Lytechinus pictus: one gene and its partner. Each later gene encodes a partner of the first gene's protein in a complex. Links are inferred from orthologs where the notes say so. Each region holds a gene or a part of one and is shown in the gene's direction. Other genes may lie near its edges.

Region 1 (10,633 bases):
TTGAAAAAGTGGTAAAGTCTGACCCTGTCAAATGCTCTTTTCAAAATGTAGGCTTTCCAGTCATGCCATTTTGCATGACCACACGCAGATAATATTTCCGGGGGGGGGGGGCAAGACTCGAACTTATTTTTAAAAAATAAAATAAAACGATAGAGTAAACGGACCAAGCTGCTCAATGGGGCGATTATTTTTTTTACAAGTGTAATAAAAGTATTTGGTGCACATCTCACATTTGCACATTTTTCATAGTTTTCATGAAATGTTAAGGAAAAAAAATGTGTTTTCACAACAGCTGATCGGGAATTTGCCCCCCCCCCCTCCCCCTTGCTGCGTACGACCATTTCCTGAAGTCCACTTAAACATATCTCATTATAACAGAAAATATACATCAATTTAAACATATAATCTTTCTAAAACATATATAGAGAGAGATTGAAAAACTTATTAAAGAAAGAAACAAGCAAAAAGTAACACAAATTATGCATTTTATTTGCGATTTCAAAATCTCGTGTACTAACCCTTTTAATGCGATGAGGCCAATACTTTTGTATATTAATTGAGATACAATTCTTTTTTACTATATATATATACACAGGGGCGTCGATCCTTTTTTTCAGATTGGGGGGGGGGGGGCAAAATCATGAATCAACTTTCCAAAGGCGCTCGATCACATAAAACAAACAAATTAACCCACACACAAACACGCACACACACATATGCATATATATATATTTATTTATTCATATGACTCATGAGATAGAGACACATATCTCACCAACAAATTAATGCGAGCGCGAGCTGAATTTTTTTAGTATACTAACCTGAAAACAGGAAAAAGGTGCCTGTTTAGGATTGTTTGTGGTAACTCATGAGGAGGATACATATCTCACTACACAGATAATGCGAGTGCCGAGGGCGAGCTGAAATTTCTTTATATTCTGACCAGAAAGCTTGATATTCTAAGCATTATTGGTACCAATGATTAAGATGTGTATCTAAAAAAACAATAGATGCGAGCGCGAAGCGCGAGCTTAAAATTTTGATATTTCGATCTGAAAAAAAATGACAGTTTAATGGAAGTGTTTAATAAAGAACAGGATTATATCCAACAAAAGATTATTGCAAATCGAAGCGGGAGTTCTTTTGAGGTTTAGAACTGAAAACGGGACATTCTATTCACCTATTTAATCATGAAAAGTATGGGGTTTTGCTACAGAAATGATGCGAGCGCGAAGCTCGAGCTGAAAATTTTTATATTCCAATCTGAAAAGCGGACAATTTGAGCATGATTTTAGATAAAGAATGGGTTGTGTAGCTCAATCTCGCTTGCTGATTTATGTGTAACATTACTATCTTATTTTATTTTTGCACATGCGGAATCATGGGGGGGGGGGGCAAAACGATATGTTCCCCCCCCAATATTTTCATTGGTGGGGCGATCGCCCCCCTGCCCCCCCCCCCCCAGGACCGACGCCTCTGTATTTACAATGATACTACATCATGAATCATTTGGAATACATCACCAATCCAGGTTTATATATTATCATTCAATTTTCATGTACATGATGTATAGGCCTATATACAGATTTGGTATTTATATATATATATTGTGATGCTTTTCACTAAATATAATGCAATTTGTAATGATGAGTAATTTTTATCTAATTGCTTTGATGAAACTGGATATAATGCTTATGACCTGAATTCAGAAAGAGATCCTTCAAGACAGAGCTTTGGAAATAGTTCTCCAGTTCTACAGGTATCTTTATTTTTTGTTTAACTTCTTCCTGAGCGATCAGATGAATAATATTTAACTTAATGGAAGATGAAAATAGATCAAATTTTGTGGCGTAAACATTTAAACGTTAAAACAAAGGCATTGACAAACTGTATTTATACATTGAAAATGATATTTAGTGGTTTAAGGTCTAACGAATATACGTCTGGTTGCGTAATTATACACTCCCGGTATTAGCAACGGGTTTTAGCAAAGTTTTGGACTAAAATATCGAATCATCTTCATAAAACACTATAGTCATGATAGTAGCTGTCTTACACTAAAGGCCATAGAGGTGGCACAATGTGGAATGTGTAAAGAAGAAAAGTGACTGACCTTTTTTTTATTAAAGCATTGGAATATAAGATCAAAATTAAAGGATTTGCTCTACACTTTTGTATGATTCTGGGATTTTTTAAATAACAAATTAAAGATTTCATGACATCTGTGGGCAACTGCCCCTCCCCAGTCCACTCTGTAAGGGCATGCGATAAGCTTTGTTATTCGTTATGAACATTCAACAATAAATGTATAACCAGGTGCCGCTGATCATTCTTGACCGGCGCCGATCTAGATTTGGTTGGCAATAGGCCCTTCTTCATTATTCTAACGGCGCCTATTTATTGGAACCAGGCGCTGATTTATAACCAAATGGCGCTGATTATTCTTGTCCGGCGCCGATTTAGATTTTATATTAGGGGGGGGGGGGCGCCCCCTGTGATTCTGGATCCGCCACTGTTCTTTATGTAAACGATTACCATTATGATAGGTCTACTTAATTTTTGTCATTCATTTCATTTGCAGATGATACTAATTTATTTTTTTATACAATTATCCCAATGTTCTTTTTAATGTTGTTAATGCAGTTACGGAACATATTACAGCGGATAAGGGCTAATATCACTTAATCTTCTGAAGACGAATTATATTTTTGTTTAGTAACTCCCTATTACCCACTGATATTATTTTTGACAATACCCCCTTTAAAACAAGTATCTCATACTTATTTTATCTGTGTTTCAGTAGACAATAAACTTTTCTGGAAATTACACCTTCAAAATATCTGTAAAATAATCTCTCGCATTATCGGTATAATCAACAAACTTAAATCACATCAACCACAATCACTTTTGTATTCATGCTCTACTCATCCCTTATTTTACCATATTTGAACTTCAGCCTTCTTGCTTGGGGCAGCTCACACCAAACATTCGTTGAAAGGATTTAATTACTACAAAAGAGAGTTCTCTTGCAAGGCACATATATATGCGCCCATAATGACTCACTATTCTTCGAACATAACATCTTAAAAATCTATTTTTAGTTCAACTTGGTGAATTTATGCCTAGAATTCTGGTCCTTTACCCTCCGTGTTTCATGATATCTTTATCAAAAACCGTATAGTTCATAAATACCCAACCACACAATCAGATTAATTTCATCTACTTCTTTTGAGAACATTTTCCGCAGAAAACTCTTTTATTTTTTTTTATTGTTGTGCAATGGTGAAAACACATTTATGTCCGTGGAGCCTTGTCAAAAGGCTATCATACAATAGATGTGGTAGACGGAGAAGACCATTTTCTGGGGAGCTGATCTGGAAGAAAGAGAATGAGTAATTGAGAAAGGGAGGGGTGCGGTAGAGAAAATAAAATATTTAGAGAGAGAGGGGGAAATTGTGATATGTGTGTGTGTGAGAGAGAGAGAGAGAGGGGGGGGTAAGAGGTGGATAGATGAGTAAGTGTGTTAATAAATAATGTCCAACTTTTCTGAAATTTTGCATTTTAAATGAAGAAAGTAAATAAATTGACAAATAAATTACTAAATAAATGAATAAATCATTTTCAAAATAGTTTATATTTTCATATGAACATGATAAGGTTACAACCATGATGTAAGATAATCAAATATTTTATTGTTTAAATGTTCAATTTTGGCATTAGAAATTACCCCTGTTATTTTTGAAAAAGTAATAATTTGATCGATAATGCATGCTCACTCATGTTTGATTTGACAATTAGATTTCTTGGCACAAGTTAGCAAATGAAGCACTCCTGCCAAATTGTATTGATCAATCTTGATTCATTAAAAAGATATTTTATAAAAAGGAGAGCTGCTTTTTTGTTGTGTTTGGCTGCAAAAGTTTCCCCCGCATAGACTTTGGTAAGAATCCTGATAAAAAGGAATTAAAATTTTCTTCAAAAACTGTATGTATGGCAAATTAAAGATTTATATATTATGTGCGAGTTTTTATTGGTCTATACCATAACATTTTTCTGGGTATACTACCCTTATAGATTAACTTGCTAAGTTTTATTGGGTGGTGGGAAGATTTGGGAATAACGGAAGAAAGTAGTGACGAAGGAAATAAAATAAAAGAAACAGAGAATATTTTGAAGGCCGTATATACGCCATACAGAATAAACAAGAAAGAAATGCACATTATTTTACACTATCTAATTTCCTTTCTTAAAATTCAAACTGTAGGCTGCATGTTGTGCTTTAATTTTAACGTCTGGTACATTCGTGAATAAGATCCTGGGGTGTTCTACGATGGAAAAATAATGGAGTCAGATAACACATAAGTACATGTACATCTTAATTGAGAGCCCCCCCCTTCCATGGGGTAATTGCGTTTTCTTCTGCTTTGTTACATTCAATTGTTGAGCCCTCCAAAATCCAAACCAACTATTGAGGACAATATGCATATATCTATATATGTATATCCTTTGTTATGCCAGAATTACATGTATCATTCGCAACACACTCTGATAATGAGGTGATATATTATCCCCTCTCCGGTCCACCGGGGGTGGGGGGGGGGGGTTGCTGTATTTTTTAAATATTGGAAAGGTGAGAAATAGGTTATAGGCGCACTAATTGGTTAAAACAATCAAACGAAGGACGTTTCAAAATTACATTAGGAAGGAAACAAGATAATCGATAACGTGCATGCATACATGCGAAGGTCAGTATCTATATAGGGCAGGGGCAGATCCAGGATTTCGTAAGGGGGGGGTATAGATTTTAGCGGCCGGGGGAGGGCGGGTGGGGAAGGAGGGGACCTGAAGGACAAGGATTTATTATTTTTGTGTGTGGGATGTGCGGGAGTGTTTATTATTCTTTTTTTTCTGTCTTATACTTCTTAATTTCTTCAAGTGAATTGGAAAATGAATGGATTAATTTGTGAATTTATGTTTATGAATTTTACTTATTTACTGGTTCTTTGATGGAGCTGAAGCTATTATGATGTATCATTTATGAAGTTATGAAATTTATCAGTTTGTGTTTGTATTCACTGGAAGAAGCAATAAAAGAATACTTTAAAACAGTATAAAGTATAAAGGTCTGCCGACTAATCATAAAGTTGATATGCGAGTAACTACACAGGTTCTCTACACTGCAGGCGTCTTCTGCTAATGGGGGGGGGGGGCAGGATTATTTTCATTCAAAGAATATTCTCCCCGGGTTGGCAGCTCGAAGTGCTTTTTTAGAATACTATTTTAGGGAGGGAATGTTCCTATGGACGGAAGTTTCAGTAATTTTGTAAACCACAAATCCCCGATTTTTCCCTTTTTTCAAATTTGGTTTTATTCGATTTTCAACAGAAATAAAATGGTCATAAATTATTACAATGACATTTGCAAATGAAACTTATACAAACAATTTACATTGAGGTATATGTACAATATGCGATATTTTACCATAAGTAAAACAAAGTATTATATAAAAACAATTATTATAAACATTATAAAGATCTGAGAAAATGGAGGGATCCACTAAGCAACAAAAGCAAACTAAATGCTTGTAGTGTGTGGACCCCTCTAAATAATTATTGTAGAATTGTCTACAAAGACAGACAGAGAGGTAACAAAACATAAAACAGCACAAGAACAAAAAACGAAGAACAGGGGAAGAAAAGAAAAAGAAAAGAAAAGGGAAACAAACACGAAGGATTTAAAAACAAAAATGAAAAGAAATAAAGAAAGTAAGATTAGAGCAGAACTTAAATGCTGAAAAGGGAAAATAAGTTGAGTAGGCATGAAATGGTAAAGTAAATGAGGTAAGTTATAATTATTTGAATTGATGAATATGGAAAATTATTGTCAACATTTACTAACCAAGTTGTCAATTTTAAATTTCTTGGGGATCTTAATTTCAAAACAACTATAACTGTCTTATTACTTGTAAGATTCCTTGCAAACTTTCACCAATCCGTTTTACTTATTTTCTCCTCTCTCACACATCGTATGACTACGTTTGGATTCGTCTAAAGGCCCCCTCACCCCTAACCGAATTGCCTGAAATATGCCTTGCGATGGCTGGCGAAAGGCATTTTTTAAAAATCGTTTTCAATGGAAACTGATAGTAAATCATATTTACCCTTCGTGTTTGGGTTCGTACATCTTTTGAAATTATATGTGATCGTTTCATTCTTACAAATAAAACAGTGAGAATAATATAAGCATCGAAAACCTAAAAAGAATCTGAAATTTTCTGCTAAATGACTTTTAATGTTGCTCTTTCTTTGATTCAACAAAAGATTAAATTAGTTAGCACACCCTTATCCAAAACAATTTCAGACACAAATAGATATGACAATTATTAACAAAAAACAACAACATTTACTTGCTCTAATGAATATTCATGCATTATTAAAATATGGCGTTAATTGAAAAATATAAGTACATTCAACTTGATTTTATAAGTAGTACTCATCTTTGCCTAATTGAGTTAGATTTACTCAATCAAAGCAAGCTATCAATACGTGAATTTTCTTAAATGTATATTGAACCCAAATAAATCAAGTAAATTAAAAGACAAGTTAAAACTACTTAACTACTTAAAAACGAAAAATAATTACAAATTGTATATTCTACTTAAATATATTAAGTGTTAATTACCGATTCAGAATTTTTTTTTACAGTGTACATTGTCTGGTGATAAGACTATGCGCACATACCCGGATGCAACGCAGAATAAGCGGCCATATTTGCTCAGTGTAGTTGATAAAGCATGAAACAGGAAGGAGTTTAACTTTCTGAATTGCTGTGAAATTTACTGCAAATGGATCGTCAGCAGGGTAGAAAACCTATGAGGAGGGTGAGGGATAGTCCTGAAATGCAGCGAATGCCAGATCGAGATAGAATGAGCCCTGGGAGTGACAGGTATGATGGTAGGGGAGGTGCAAAAATGGGAGGGCGAATGAGGAGCATGGAGAGAGATGACGGTGGCAGGCGTGGGACCGGCGGCGATAGGCGTCCACCACCCCGCGATGACTATGATCGCCCGCAGAATTATGATCGTCCTCAAAACTTCCAAAGTGATGGCTTTCAGAGGAAAGAACCAGATTGTTTAAGAATCACAAATTTCCCTTCTCATGTTTCTGATACAGCAATTAGAGATGCTCTTTTTCATGAATTTAAGAAATATGGTGAAGTAAATGTGCGTGTTGTGTTCAGTCAAGCAAAAAATGAGCGGATTGCTTATGTGAGATTTAGACTACCAGATCAGGCTAGAGATGCAATGCAAGCTCGTGGTGATCGTCTTACATTGTTTGCAAGACCGTTACACATTGTAGCAATTGTAAATAAAACAAATCATAATCAGGGGCAAGGGCATGATGGTGGTTACATGAATAATAGACAAAATGATTTTCAAGGGAGACGTGGTGGAATGCAAGGAAAGAATTACAGGCAGGATATGGGCAGTAGTGGTGGTGGCGGCAGAGGAAGAGATAGAGATTTTAATCGATATGAATCAAATTCCCGTAACTATGGAAATGATGGGTATCACCAAAATCAAGGTCGTGATAGAGACCGTGATGCAACATTTTTGCCTGAGGATGACCCAAAGGCTACACGTACAGTGTTTTGTGGTAACTTGGAAGATGGTATCCAAGAAAGTGAGATAAGAAGGCATTTTGAGAGATATGGCTTTGTTGAAGAAATTGACATCAAGTATCCACCTCGAGGCCAGGGAAATCCTTTTGCTTTTGTGAAATTTGAAAATTTGGATATGGCTTATAAGGCAATAATCTCTATGTCTGGCCAGTACATTGGGAGGAATCAGTGCAAGACAGGATATGGAAAACAGTCTCCAACAAATTGTCTATGGGTTGGAGGTTTGGGGCCTTGGATCACATTGGGTGTGCTGGAAAGAGAGTTTGATCGCTTTGGAGCAATTAGAAAGATTGATTATATTAAAGGTGATTCATTTGCGTACGTCCAGTATGAAACTGTAGAAGCAGCCCAGGCAGCTGCCAGCCACATGCGTGGTGTTCCTTTAGGAGGACCAGACAAACGACTTCGGGTAGACTTTGCTGAACATGGGCCTGGCATCCAGACAACTAAAAAGCAGTTTAGACCATACCAAGGACCACCCAACCATGATGATGGCTCAGGTGGCAGAGGCTACAATCGTTACAATCAAGACAGAGATATTGGTCGAGATATTTCACCTCCATCATTTCGTGATGGATCTGATCAGTGGCAAGGAGGGGGAGGAGGTTTTGATGGAGGTCGTGGGAACTGGCAGTCTGGTAGTCGATACAAAAATGATAACTGGAACCGAAGGGACAATGACCAATCAGGAAGAATGATGCAACGAGGTGATAATCGTAGAAGGCGAAATGGATCCCCTGATGATTTCGCTGGTAGGGATGACTGGTCACCAAGCAATGTGAAAGCATCTAAGCGCCGTAGGTCCCCTGGTGGTGATTGGTCTCCTGAGCGAAGGAAACCTAGAGATTCTTCACATGGGCGTGATTGGGATGCTTCACCAGATGGCCGTGTACGCCGTCAACGATCCATAAGTAGTGATCTTTCTGACCAGGATTTTGGTAGTCAACCCATGGAACGTCGTCGAAAGCGAGGTAGTAGGCGCTCCAGAATTCCAGATAGTTTAGATAACTTGTCTGATCTTCTAAATTACTTACCAATGTCTTGGAGAGGTCATTTGGTGTTGAAGAACAGTGCATTTGCTACTCGCATGTTTTTGGTAGGAGGAGATGCAGACACTGCTGAAGCTCTGCTGCCACATGACTTAGGAAGTGATGAGTCTGCCTTGAGGATCACACAGCGCTTACGTTTAGATCAACCTAAGCTTGATGAAGTGGGCAAAAGAATCTCGCAAGCTGGATCTAGTGGTCATGCAATTTTGCTTTCTTTCGCTGGAACAAGTGAAGATTCAGACTCTTTACCATCTGGAACCCAGGCACGTGCCTTGGTGAACTTGGTTACTTACCTTCAGCAGAAGAAAGCTGCTGGAGTTATCAGCCTACCAGTTAGTGGAGAGCAAAATAAGGATAACGTTGGTGTCCTTCATGCCTTTCCACCATGTGAATTCAGTCACAAGTACCTTCTTGATATTGCTCCTGGTTTAGGCCCAGATCCTTGCAAAGAGGATCATCTTGTTGTGATCATTGTGAAGGGGGCAGCATAGGTTTTTAATATGTTTTTAGAGTAATTTAACTAAATAATTTGCCTTGGTATGTAGTGTGTAAAGTTATAGAATTAGAAATGAATAAAAAAATAAAACTTCTTAACATTCAATTGGGAATCTTTTCATGCATGTACATGCACACTTGTATTTGTCATATTTCAGATAAGAATGCTTGGCAAAATTGTGTATATTTTGTAATTAGTGATGAAATATCTTATGCAATTGTTTTAAAATGTGTGATTGATGAAGTATTAGGAAGTAGATTATAACAAGTTGTTTATTATGTTGAAGTAACTTTGTACTGATATTTGCATCCCGATGAGTCAACCCCTAAACATGGCCTAAATGGCAGGACAGAAATCAAAAACGTATTCTACTTTGTGAATTCAAAATCATTTTTCAATAATACTTTATTTTCAGTACTGTTATTTGAACTTTTTAAGCCTATTTCTATTTTGTTGAATAATATTTCTGTGTTACATTATCATTGCTAATATGATTTCTAGCTTAAAAGAAATACAGATCCGGTCAGTGATTTTTGACAATACTGAATATTTACCCTGAACTTGACTTTACACTCAGCCAGAATAAAAGAAATCTGCCTATTCAGCTCTTTTCGCATTGGCTGTTATAGAGTAAAAGTGAAACTAAGATCCTATGGGATTTTTTATCCTAGAGTTACATGTGAAAAACAAAAATTTGATGACCATAACCATTGCAGTTTGTGATCAAATATGTAATGTTCATTTCTACTGAAATTCATGAAATTGTAAATGGAATATTTCATAGTCCCCTGTACAGTATATCCTTTTCATCAAGACAGCGTATATGAGACAACATGTATATTCAATGAGTTTTTTTTCTATTAATTAAATTATCGCAATTTGAATTTTAAATGCATGACAATGTAATTTACTCTTTTACTCTCAGCATAATTATTTTTTGGGATACACTAAATGTAGTACATGTATGCGAGTTGGGCATACTTTTTCTTCATGAAAGAACTTCTTACTGTTTGTTGCATAACTGGCACTCTAAAGATAAGCAACACACAAAATACTTGGTTTGCAATGGCCATCGATGGGCGCTCTTTCAGTTCATAAAATGGACAAGCTTGCATCTCATTTTGTAGCAAGGCCATCATGACCGGATCAGTTGTTGAATGGGAATGTCTTCAAGTTGTAGCAACTGGTGAAATGGAATTCTGCAATGATTGCCCTCCCAAATGCACGCTCCCCATTTCCATTAGCTACCTGTCAAATGCACCTTAAAATATCTTGAACAATTTATCTTATGGGCTCAGTTCAGTTACAAATCTGTCACATCCCTTCTCTGAAAATGTTCCTGATCCACCACTCCTCTATCCTCATACTGAGAATAAAGCTTCAAATTTGCAGCCATGACAACAATTCC
Region 2 (10,326 bases), on another chromosome or scaffold:
ACTTTCTATAGCTTCGAGGTGAGATCGCCAAATTCATAACAGACGTCCATCTCTTGAAGGTACAGGTCAAGTTTTAATATGAGTCGAATTTGAATAAGGTCAAAGGTCAATGAACTTTCCATGACTGGCACTGTGCTGTGTTGTACACACAATAACTTTCTATAGCTTCGAGGTGAGATTGCCAAATTCATTCAAGAGGTCCATCTCTTGAAGGTGCAGGCCAAGTTCAAATGTGAGCCGAATTTGATTAAGGTCAAAGGTCAATGAACTTTCCATGACTGGCACTGTGCTGTGCTGTACACACAATAACTTTCTATATCTTCGAGTTAGGATTGCCAAATTCATACAAGAGGTCCATCTTTTGAAGGTGCAGGTCAAGTTCAAATGTGAGTTGAATTTGATTAAGGTCAAAGGTCAATGAACTTTCCATGACTGGCACTGCTGTGTTGTACACACAATAACTTTCTATAGCTTCGAGGTGGGATCGCCAAACTCGTAACAGAGGTCCATCTAAGTCATATAGCATACATGTAGTTTTGACATGCAGTCTCTTCATGACTGCAATATGCAGGCGAGACAACGCTTGGCGTTTGCCTTGTTCTCTATTGATTTAAATAAACATTTTTTTCTGAAGTGGACCTGACCTTTAAGCGCCGTGCCGGGAATCGAACCCGGACCTCCATGGTGTGTAGTCGGGTGCCTTAGAACACTAGGCCACGACACCTCCACATATAGTTGTAGGAGGACTTAGGGGACCAAAGTGCACCCTTTTGTCATAAGTGGCGCCCAAAAGTGTGAAAAGTGGAGAAAGTGAAGAACTTAAAAGAAGAGGCGGAAAAAAAAGGAGAAGAAGAAGTAAAGGAGAATGAATTAATGATAATGAAACAAAGGAAGGGAAGAATGGGGGGAAAAGGTTCACTAGGGCCTATAATATAGAAACCTGTCAACTTAAAATGGAAAGTGTCATTGCATTGAGAAGATAATGAAATTAAAAACTGTACAATTTTTATATTCGCTAGATGGTATTCATTTGTCTCGCAATCTACTATGGTCAACAAGGAAATTCGTGATCACTCTCGCAAAAAGTGTTCTTTAGCTTTCGAGTGCCGCTGCAACTCTTTATCCTTGTTGACCATAGTAGATTGCGAGACAAATGAATACCATCTAGCGATTATTTCATTCCGCAATAATGAACCTATTTAGTATTATTTTATATTTAGACCTAAAAAGGGACATTATAAGCAAATTTTTGTAAACATAATACGTACGTGTCTTACTAAACAAACAATGCAAGCGCGAAGCGCGAACTGAAATATTTGTATAATATTGTCCCCAAACAGGGACATTTTAAGGACTTTTTTTTTGGGGGGGGGGACTCCATTAAGAGTATATATCTCACCATATTCATCTGATGCGAGTTCAAAGCGTTTGCTGATTTTGTTAGAATTACATCTAAACACAATCATGAAGCACCTATTCATACGCGTCTCACCAAACAAATATTGCGAGCGCGAGCTGAATTCAGATCTGAAGAGGGGCATCCTAAGGCTTGTTTGTATAGGAATTCACTAACCAAATGATGCGAGCGCGAAGCACGAGCTGAAAATTGTTGATATTCCGATCAGAAAAGGGGACATTTTAAGGACGGATTTTAGGAATTCATGAAGGTTAGACATATCTCACCAATCCACATAATGCGAAGGTAAGCACTGTCTGGAAATGTTTTATAATCAGACCTTAAAAGGAGGCAAGCAAGTCTTGAAAAAGAAGCATATGTCACTACATAAAACGATAATATCTCGGCGAGGAAATATATTTAGTGTATACTGACTTGAAAACGGGATGTTTTAGCACAACAGGGTAATATATATATCTCCATACCACATCATGGTATGAACAAGATTTTTTTATGATTGTGGCCCCGAGCATTGCCATAGAGCTAAGCTCATTGCGTGACAAGTACAAAAAAAGGGAGGCACAGTATGGCGCACGCAGCAAAAAATTGCTTAATATAAGTCCCGAGCTTGTACCTTGTACCTTGCAGTTCTATTCCCTGAAGTCCTCCACCAGGAAGGGTAACTCAGGGCTGACGAGAGTGGGAGTACTGTTACTCTGTTTTGTTTTGTTGCATGATTTGCATGTTTAGTTTTACTTTAAGTATATCAGTGCTGTTGGAGGATACCGTATCGGATGTGAGACTATTCCAGTGGGAGATTGCTTCAGGGAAGAAGTAATTAGCCAGTTGGGTAGTTGTGATGAACTTTGAAGTGACGTCTGTTCAGACGTCATACAGTTCATCATGGGATCTTCTTAATCTTGTTATTTTTCTTGTGGCATATTTATTTAAGTCAAGTTGAGTTTCTCCATGGATGATCTTATATAAGTTGATGATTCGGTGATTTCGCCTCCTTTCTTCGAGAGACATCCAGCCAAGTGTTGTCATTATGTTTGTAACGCTGGATCCCCGTGTGTAGTTCCCTGTGACGAATCGGGCGGCTCGTCTCTGAACCATTTCCAGCAATTTGGTGTTCTTGATTGTGCCTGGGTGCCATGCTATCGAAGCATATTCCAGGTGGGGTCTAACAAGTGTGTGGTATAGACGTTCTTTCACTGTTTTAGAGCAGTGATAGAAGTTCCTTCTGATGAAGTTTAAAGCCCTCGTACCTTTGGCGGATGCCTGTTGTGACTGCTTATCCCATTTTAGGTTGTTTTCTATAATTATGTATTCCTAGGTATTGATGGCTATTTACTTCCTGAAGTTGTTGACCAAGGAGTGAGTAATTGGTATGTCCTGGTACTCGCTTTCTGGAGATCCTCATCGGAGGGGTTGGATATTGCTCGGTAGAGTATGCAGTCATCTGCGAACAGTCTTGCCGTGCTGTGAACTGCTTCTGAGAGATGGTTTATGTACAAAATGAAGAGGTGGGGCCCGAGGACTGTTCCCTGTGGAATACCGCTTAGGACTGGTAACCAGTTTGATGTTTTACCATTCACTACTGTTCTTTGATATCTCTGGGTCAGGAAGGATCTTATCCACTCAAGGGTCTTGCTACGGATGCCATACAAGTGAAGTTTCTGCAACAATTTCTTGTGGGGGACGACATCGAATGCTTTGCTGAAGTCGAGTATTGCGATGTCACATGTCTCCTTGTTGTTGTGATGAGTAGCAAGATCATGGATTGTGGCAACTAATAATGTGTCACATGATCTACCCCGTCTGAAAGCATGCTGGTAGTCAGAAAGGATTGAGTTTGTAGTAAGGTGTGTCATTAGATGGCTGTCAACTATATGTTCCATAAGTTTGCAGCATACACTGGTCAACGATATAGGGCGATAATTAGCTGGTTCATTTTTAGGACCCTTCTTGTAAATAGCAGCGATGTTCGCTTTACGCCAATCCTCAGGAAGGATCCCTTGGTCATATGACTGTTTAAATATGAATTGCAGGACTGGGGCTATTTCTTCAGCTGTAAGTTTAAGAACACGGTTTGGTATGCTATCTGGTCCTGCGGCCTTTGAGACCCCGGGGGGGGGGGGCACTCAATATATAATGCATAGTGGGTATGTGCCGCGGAGGGGACCCCCATTTTTACACTCAAATTTCCGTTCCAAGGCATAGCATTTTTGTCTTATTGAGAAAAAGAACAAAGAAAGCCGCTCCAAAGCATAGCATTTTCTTCTTATCGAGAAAAAAGAATAGAGAAATCCGCTCCAAAGCTTCGCATATTTTTCGTTACGCCGTTCCGGTCGCATTGATCTGCTACAAGGAGCTGCAATTTTGGTGAAAAGCGGCCGCAGAGCGCTGTCCGACCATCGCCGCTTCTGCGCGAGCGCACCCGGCGGAGGCCGCGCTAGCTGTATCATGCACGCATGCCCGTTCCATAGGGATGCATGCGCACTCATCACACGCTGGCGATCCGTTCCAAGGACCCCCGTTTTCACAAACATTTGTAGTTCCGAAGCCCGTTCCGAGGACCCTCCTTTTTACAATTAGCCCGCTCCAAGGCCCCCGTTTTTTGTCTCGCCCGCGGCACACCCCTACCACTTTTTTGGTCGAGTGCCCCCCCCCCCCCGGGTTTGAGACATCTAACTTGTTCAATAGCTTGATGATGCCACTAACCGTGATGTTGATATCTGGCATATCAGGGATGTTATATTCTTGTTGGAAGGTTGGGGATTTGGGTTTCGTCTCTTGAGAAGACGCTCTGGAACTGTTCGGCCAGTGCGTCTGCTTTCCCTTGGTCATCAGTGATGATTTCGTTTCCCTTCTTAAGGCTCTGGATCCCTACGTTGTCTTTGCGCCTGGTTTTGATATATTTCCAGAACTGTTTATTACCGAGCGAAGCGAGCGAGAAAAAAAGTCACCTTTTCATAAGAATCTAATTTTGAGATTGATTTTGACATGGTATTAAAAAAATATATATTTTACATCTTCCTTTCCTTTTTTTTCATCTTTTCTTTTTTTTTTGGTTCTCGGTTGTAGAGCTTTTGGGGGCCAGTGATATGCGGATCGGGTCCGGGGCAATGGCGGCACCAGGATTGTTAACCGGGGGAGGGGGGCAAAATAGCATTTTTTGGGGGGGCAACACACAAATGGTTTGCCTATTTCTCAAAATCGAGCGAGAAGCACGAGCTGATTTTTTTTTATGTAGACCCTACTGACTTGAAAAGGGACCTGTTAAGGACTAGCTGTTTGCATTGGGTCAATCATGAAGATGATATCTCACCAAATAAATAATGCGAGCGCGCGAAGCTCGAGCTGAAAATTTTTGACATCCTGAGATGATAACTGGACGTTCTAAGCACTTTTTGCAATCATGGGCTGGATGGCTATTTAATCCAACAATAAAATTGATGCGAGCGCGTAGCGCGAGCTGAACATTTTTCATTTATGAAAATTATGAAGATTTTTCCAAATCTAAAGAACGAAAAAGCTGTTTTGGAGCACTTAGCAGCTTTAGTAGGATGCTTATGACAACATTTACTATACATTTTTTTTTCAAAATTCGGGGGGGGGGGTGCAACTCACTGGGGGCAAATGCCCCCTGTGCCTTCCCCTTTTCCTTTTTCCTCTTTTCTTCATTTCTTTCTTTCTTTCTTTCCCCTTCTCTCTTTCTCTTTTTTTTTTCTTTTTCCCATTTTGTTATTTTCCCGGTGAAATCCGCCAGAGGGGGCAGCTTGCCCCCCCCCCCCCCCGCCTGTTACGCCACTGGTGAGTGAACGAAGAAGACAAGCGGGAAAGGAAATAAAAGGCGGTCAGAAATAAATAAGAAAATATAAGGAAAATTAGAGTGGAAATTGGAAAGTAGAAATATAAGAGGAAATTAAGAAACCATGCACGGCAAGAACCAAACTGCAAACAATCCTAAGACTTGTCTTTTTTTTTCTTTTTTGTTGTTGCTATATTGGTGTCTCAGCGACACCATCCTAAGGAACATCCAGCGTCAAACTAAGTTTTTTTCCTCGATACAAAACTCCTTTTAAAAGTGAGAATGTCTGAAAGGCTGAAGTCAATAAGAGCGCGGTCCTCCCAGCGGAGAAAAATCCTTGCCCAGCAGGTGAGTCTAAATTTGTTTATATAGTCGGTGTTACCACGTCAATTTACACACAACATTCTAACTTAATACAAGTTACAGAAAAAGGAAACACGGATCTTTACGCGTGGGGCAATGCAAATTCAAGCCGTTGTCTACGTCGCTCGTCGCCGAAATGCAGCCAATGTCCACCCAGGCCAAGGGTTCATTACATGCCGCCGCGCACAGAAAAATCAAGCCATAGAAGTCGTGTGTTGTGGACCCAAGAAGTGAGATCCCAGCACGCGCGACCCACTAGTTAGAAATCCACTGCCAAACGAGGTTCGTGGTGCGAGGTAGTAATAGTAATACTAACCTCGCAATACCGGTACGTGTGAGTGGCCAATGGCAATGTCGAGCCCTACTTAAGGTCTCGTGAAACTTTTAATAGCAGAGACTAGAGGCGCATGGCCAATAATGGGAGACTGTCACCATCATCATGATCTTGTTCTCTTTGTTATTAGCTTAGCTACGAGACGCATATAGAGGGCGGCAACATCATGGGTAAGGATCTTAAAAAGTTAAAGACTTTAGAATATAATTAATAAACCACAAATTATTAGCAAAAAATAATTTGTCCAAATATTTAAATTGGCATAGTTTTTATCATTTGTAAACAAGGTGCGTAGCTTTAGGTCACCCCATCATACATTATCAATTTTATTTTTGAACAAATATTCATTCAAAAACCAAAAAATGTATAATGAGAAGATGGGAGAAAACTTACCGATGTTTACGGCATGATGTTGCCGCCCTCTATATGCGTCTCGTAGCTTAGACAGCTGGCAGCCGTCTGTTTCGAGGAGTTTTTTAACATTTTTTTATTTTTTAAATTTCTCCTCGTACACAGACGGCTCGCTATCGTGCAGCCACCATTAGGGGACTTACAATGCAAAATCCCCATGTCGGGGCTCTTCAATTTTTGTCTTTAATGAATCAAACTTTTGAAAATTAATCCAACCGAAATGCAAATTAATATTCCCTCTTGGCATTAATTGCCCCAAAAACGGGGAAAATCAAGTTAAAAGGAACAAAAACAGTGACTTACCTCGGCTGTTGCGCAACTTCACTGCCCTGTTTTATCCGAACTTAATGCACATAAACATATGGCCATTGAGTCCCCTGTACAGATCGCGCTAGAACTTCGGTCTCTGTATTTGGTGAGTGAAGCCAACGGAGTTCAGCTGAACAACCAACATAACAGAGACCGAAGCTTTTGGTCTACTCGTAGCTAAGCTAATAACAAAGAGAACAAGATCATGATGATGGTGACAGTCTCCCATATTGGCCATGCGCCTCTACTATCAAAGTACACACCCGAAGAATCAAAACTATTTTATAATTAATTTTTGTGGTCATCATTGTAAAGGGGAAGGATTACTTATCATATATCTAACTTCACTTTTTGAAATAGTGATTAGAGTTTGCAGAAATCGGCTCTCAAAAATGATTTATTTTCATGCCATATTTCTGCCTTCCACCGGTCCTCTTGCGAGCTCCAGCTGAGTGACGTCACACAATGAGCGGTGAGCAGCTGAGCTGACAGCAGCCCATTGAAAACGACCTTTCCAATCAGCGTTTTTTGCTCTTAGAATTGTTTATTCCTCATAAGATTGGTCTTGTTATATAGATAAAAGTTTGAATTTACTGAACAATGAAATAAAATGCACATTTAACGTATTTTGGTAACCGATATTTAGCTTAGAAAAAATGATTTTTTTTTTCAAGAAATATATGTGAATAAACAAAGCACATTTTCACTTAGAAATCACACTTGCGTCACATTAATATTATAATCAATATAAAGCATAGACATTCTTCTTCACGCCTGAACAAAAATTATGAAATTTCATTACGTAGCAAAGTCAGGAACCACAAAAAACACGGTAATATCCATCACGAAATGATTGGAATTGCAGTTGAATTGCCGAAGCATTATGAGGCAACAGTGGCGAACGGACTTTGTTTCATATATCCTTAAAAGCCCCAGTGCGAGTAAGAAGCGGTCTGTGGCCAAACCGGTAAAACGTTATTTTGATGAGTACGAGGACCCTGGTTCGAAACTCGTGATATTTTTTTGTTCGGGGATTTTTTGTAAAATCATTTTATTCCTTCCCCATTCCTACCCAGCTCTTTTTTTCTCTTTTTATTTTCATGTGAGATTCTATTCAGACCTGCATTTATTAAATCGTACTTAATTGCTGCTTTTGATTTTCAAGTTCTTGATTAGATTCTGCACTTATTTGGGCAGGGATGGGAGGGGTAGAGGATGAGTTAAATGTCAAGTCCACATCAAGTAAAAATTATTTGAATAGAGTAATTTCCCTTGTTTTTTTACTCAAAACAGTTATAAACACAAAACAATGACATGCACATTAGAGTTGATTATGTCACATCTTATTCATTTCAAATTTTGTTAAGCATTTTATTTTTTATTATTTAATTTGAATCAGTTTTTATGAAATTTTCTGAATATTTTTTTTTTGTAATCAAATGAATTTTTGGTTGGGTGGACTTCTCCTTTACTCTTCACATGGAATACATAGCAATATTTATCCAGAAACAAAATTGTCTTAAAATGTGCAAACCAGTAATTGGACACATGTTCACTTTCCTTTCATCCAGGCCACTTCCTCGATCACATCCACCAGGCTTACAGTCTTATAACAAACATGATGCACCATCACACAACTGCAAACAACATTCACAGTGCTTCACAATAAATATTTCACTTTTGTTCATACATGCAATGAATATTGTGGAAAACAATAACAGGCATACCCATATTCCAATATCATTTAAAAGGACAAATATATTATACCTTTCGAGAAAAAAATTCTGACGATATATACACGACACTTAACTTTCAGCAATCAGCATGGTATATAACTGATACAGAGTTGCTAACAAAGTATAACTTTGGGGCTTTGCAAGAAACTTATGTTCAAAGCGTTAGTCTCAAATTCAAATTCAAGTGTAATAAGGTCGAGTTGCACGTGCAATTCAACTACATGTTTGTGTTTAATCAAAGGACTTACCCTTGATTTGGGACGTGTGATTGAGTAGAAAATTTCTCACAAAATGCCCTAGTTACATTACAATTGTTCTTTCGTTTTAAATTGTGTTCCTATTTTTGACAAGCTGTATTCCTGTACAATTCAATGTTATAGTCCTCTCCAAAACTGCTCTAAATTGTTGTTTCCAAGATCAATTAAGATTATTATCAGTCCATAACTTGCAAACCGTAGCTCCAGGAAAGCAGAGTGAAGAAAAAATGGCTACATGTCCATATCAGAATCTCCCAGATTGAAGTAGTAAGCAGAGACCAGAGTCAGCAAGTGTGCAGATCTGTATGTAGAAGAGAGAGAGAGAGAGAAAAAAAGAAATAGTCTAAATAATCAAAGTATGAATTTTATTTATTGATGATTAAGGACTACAAGAAATACTGTCTTCAACAGCCACAATATTTTTGAACAAACTGGTTAATAAATGTACTACAGGCTATTTTAGGAAGTATGTACGTACACTAGTAGGAAGCCTACCAGACATTTTTAGTTTGACTTTAATCAGTTTATATTCTAGTTTTGGTGCACAGATTGTCATCATCATCTGATACAGGAATAAGCCGGCGCAGTGGCATGTAATTCCTGGTCGACGATAAATAATAGTGGGTTTAGACTGAAAAGTTCTACTCGGAGCACCAGTGCTCTACCTCAAGTGATGTTCGTGTAGGCTCCACTCCACTTCACTATCGCTACATTACATGTACGCTACCCGGGTATAGGTGTAGCGTAGTGTAGCGGTAGTGAAGTGGAGCCTACACGAACATCACTTGAGCCGTGCTCTCCGGGTCTTAACAAAGAGTGCATTTATCTTCATTTTTGAAAGAAACACCAGACTCTAATTTCGGTCAGGAATCAGGGCACTCACACGTATTGCGAGGTTAGTAGTAGTATACTAATCAGGGAATCAGGGTAACCACTGCTGAAATTTTGTCTGGCTTCATGAATCATGACATCCTTAATTCCGAGTAGAAAAAAAAGCTTAATTAAACATTCCTCTGAAACGAAACCGCAGATTTTTCAGTATAACCAAGCCATTGCCTGGCCAGTTTATTTAGAAATCTGACTGAAGAAAAAACCTGCTGCAAAAACCTTTTTAAAAAAGACTTTAGGGCCTACGTAGTCAACTAGTACAGCTTGAAATAATGCATGATTCTAATATTACCGGTATTATTAGATCTGTATTTGTCATCTGACCTGAATGCATCGTCAGTCAGATGCCAGACCATACAAGTACAATTTCCAAACATGCTTACCTTGACTTTAGTTTAAGGTATGACGCCTTTTGTGGATGGATCAAACAGCGTAATGTGCAGCATCGACTGCCCTTGCAGAGCCCCAGCGGCAAGCAGTGAATGGGCAGCTACAGCTTTGAGTTTTTCAATAAACACTGACTCACTGACTGACTGACTGGAGCAACACAACCCACGACGCCTGTCCAGTGGACAAATCGGTCTTTACAGTTCCCAGTTCAATAAAAACGGGCAAAGTAACACAGTTCTGGTTCACTTTTGGTCTGAAGTTGTCGAAAACAGAAATCGGATATCACAATACATGAAGAAAACGGTAAATTCTGAAGATATTGAACAGGTCAGTAAGGTGATTCAGTGTATTATGCACAGAGGGATGATGAGCTCGACGATTGTGTGACGTCATTATTCTCGACTGTTTTCACTGCGTGAACTGTCGGT

What was found.
Region 2: putative RNA-binding protein 15B (region 1) and N6-adenosine-methyltransferase non-catalytic subunit-like share a complex: the UniProt entries of both Drosophila melanogaster proteins name them as parts of the WMM complex. The link is inferred for Lytechinus pictus from reciprocal best matches to the Drosophila melanogaster genes nito and Mettl14.

What each region holds. Positions count from the first base shown.
Region 1 is NC_087247.1:53,157,763-53,168,395, reverse strand, and holds the start of putative RNA-binding protein 15B, read left to right. Parts: upstream 1-6,728; 5' UTR 6,729-6,844; coding exon 6,845-9,220; 3' UTR 9,221-10,633. UniProt on the Drosophila melanogaster protein: RNA-binding protein that acts as an associated component of the WMM complex, a complex that mediates N6-methyladenosine (m6A) methylation of mRNAs. M6a modification plays a role in the efficiency of mRNA splicing and is required for sex determination.
Region 2 is NC_087262.1:6,676,779-6,687,104, reverse strand, and holds the start of N6-adenosine-methyltransferase non-catalytic subunit-like, read left to right. Parts: upstream 1-5,413; 5' UTR 5,414-5,492; coding exon 5,493-5,558; intron 5,559-10,326. UniProt on the Drosophila melanogaster protein: Non-catalytic component of the WMM complex, a complex that mediates N6-methyladenosine (m6A) methylation of mRNAs, a modification that plays a role in the efficiency of mRNA splicing and is required for sex determination.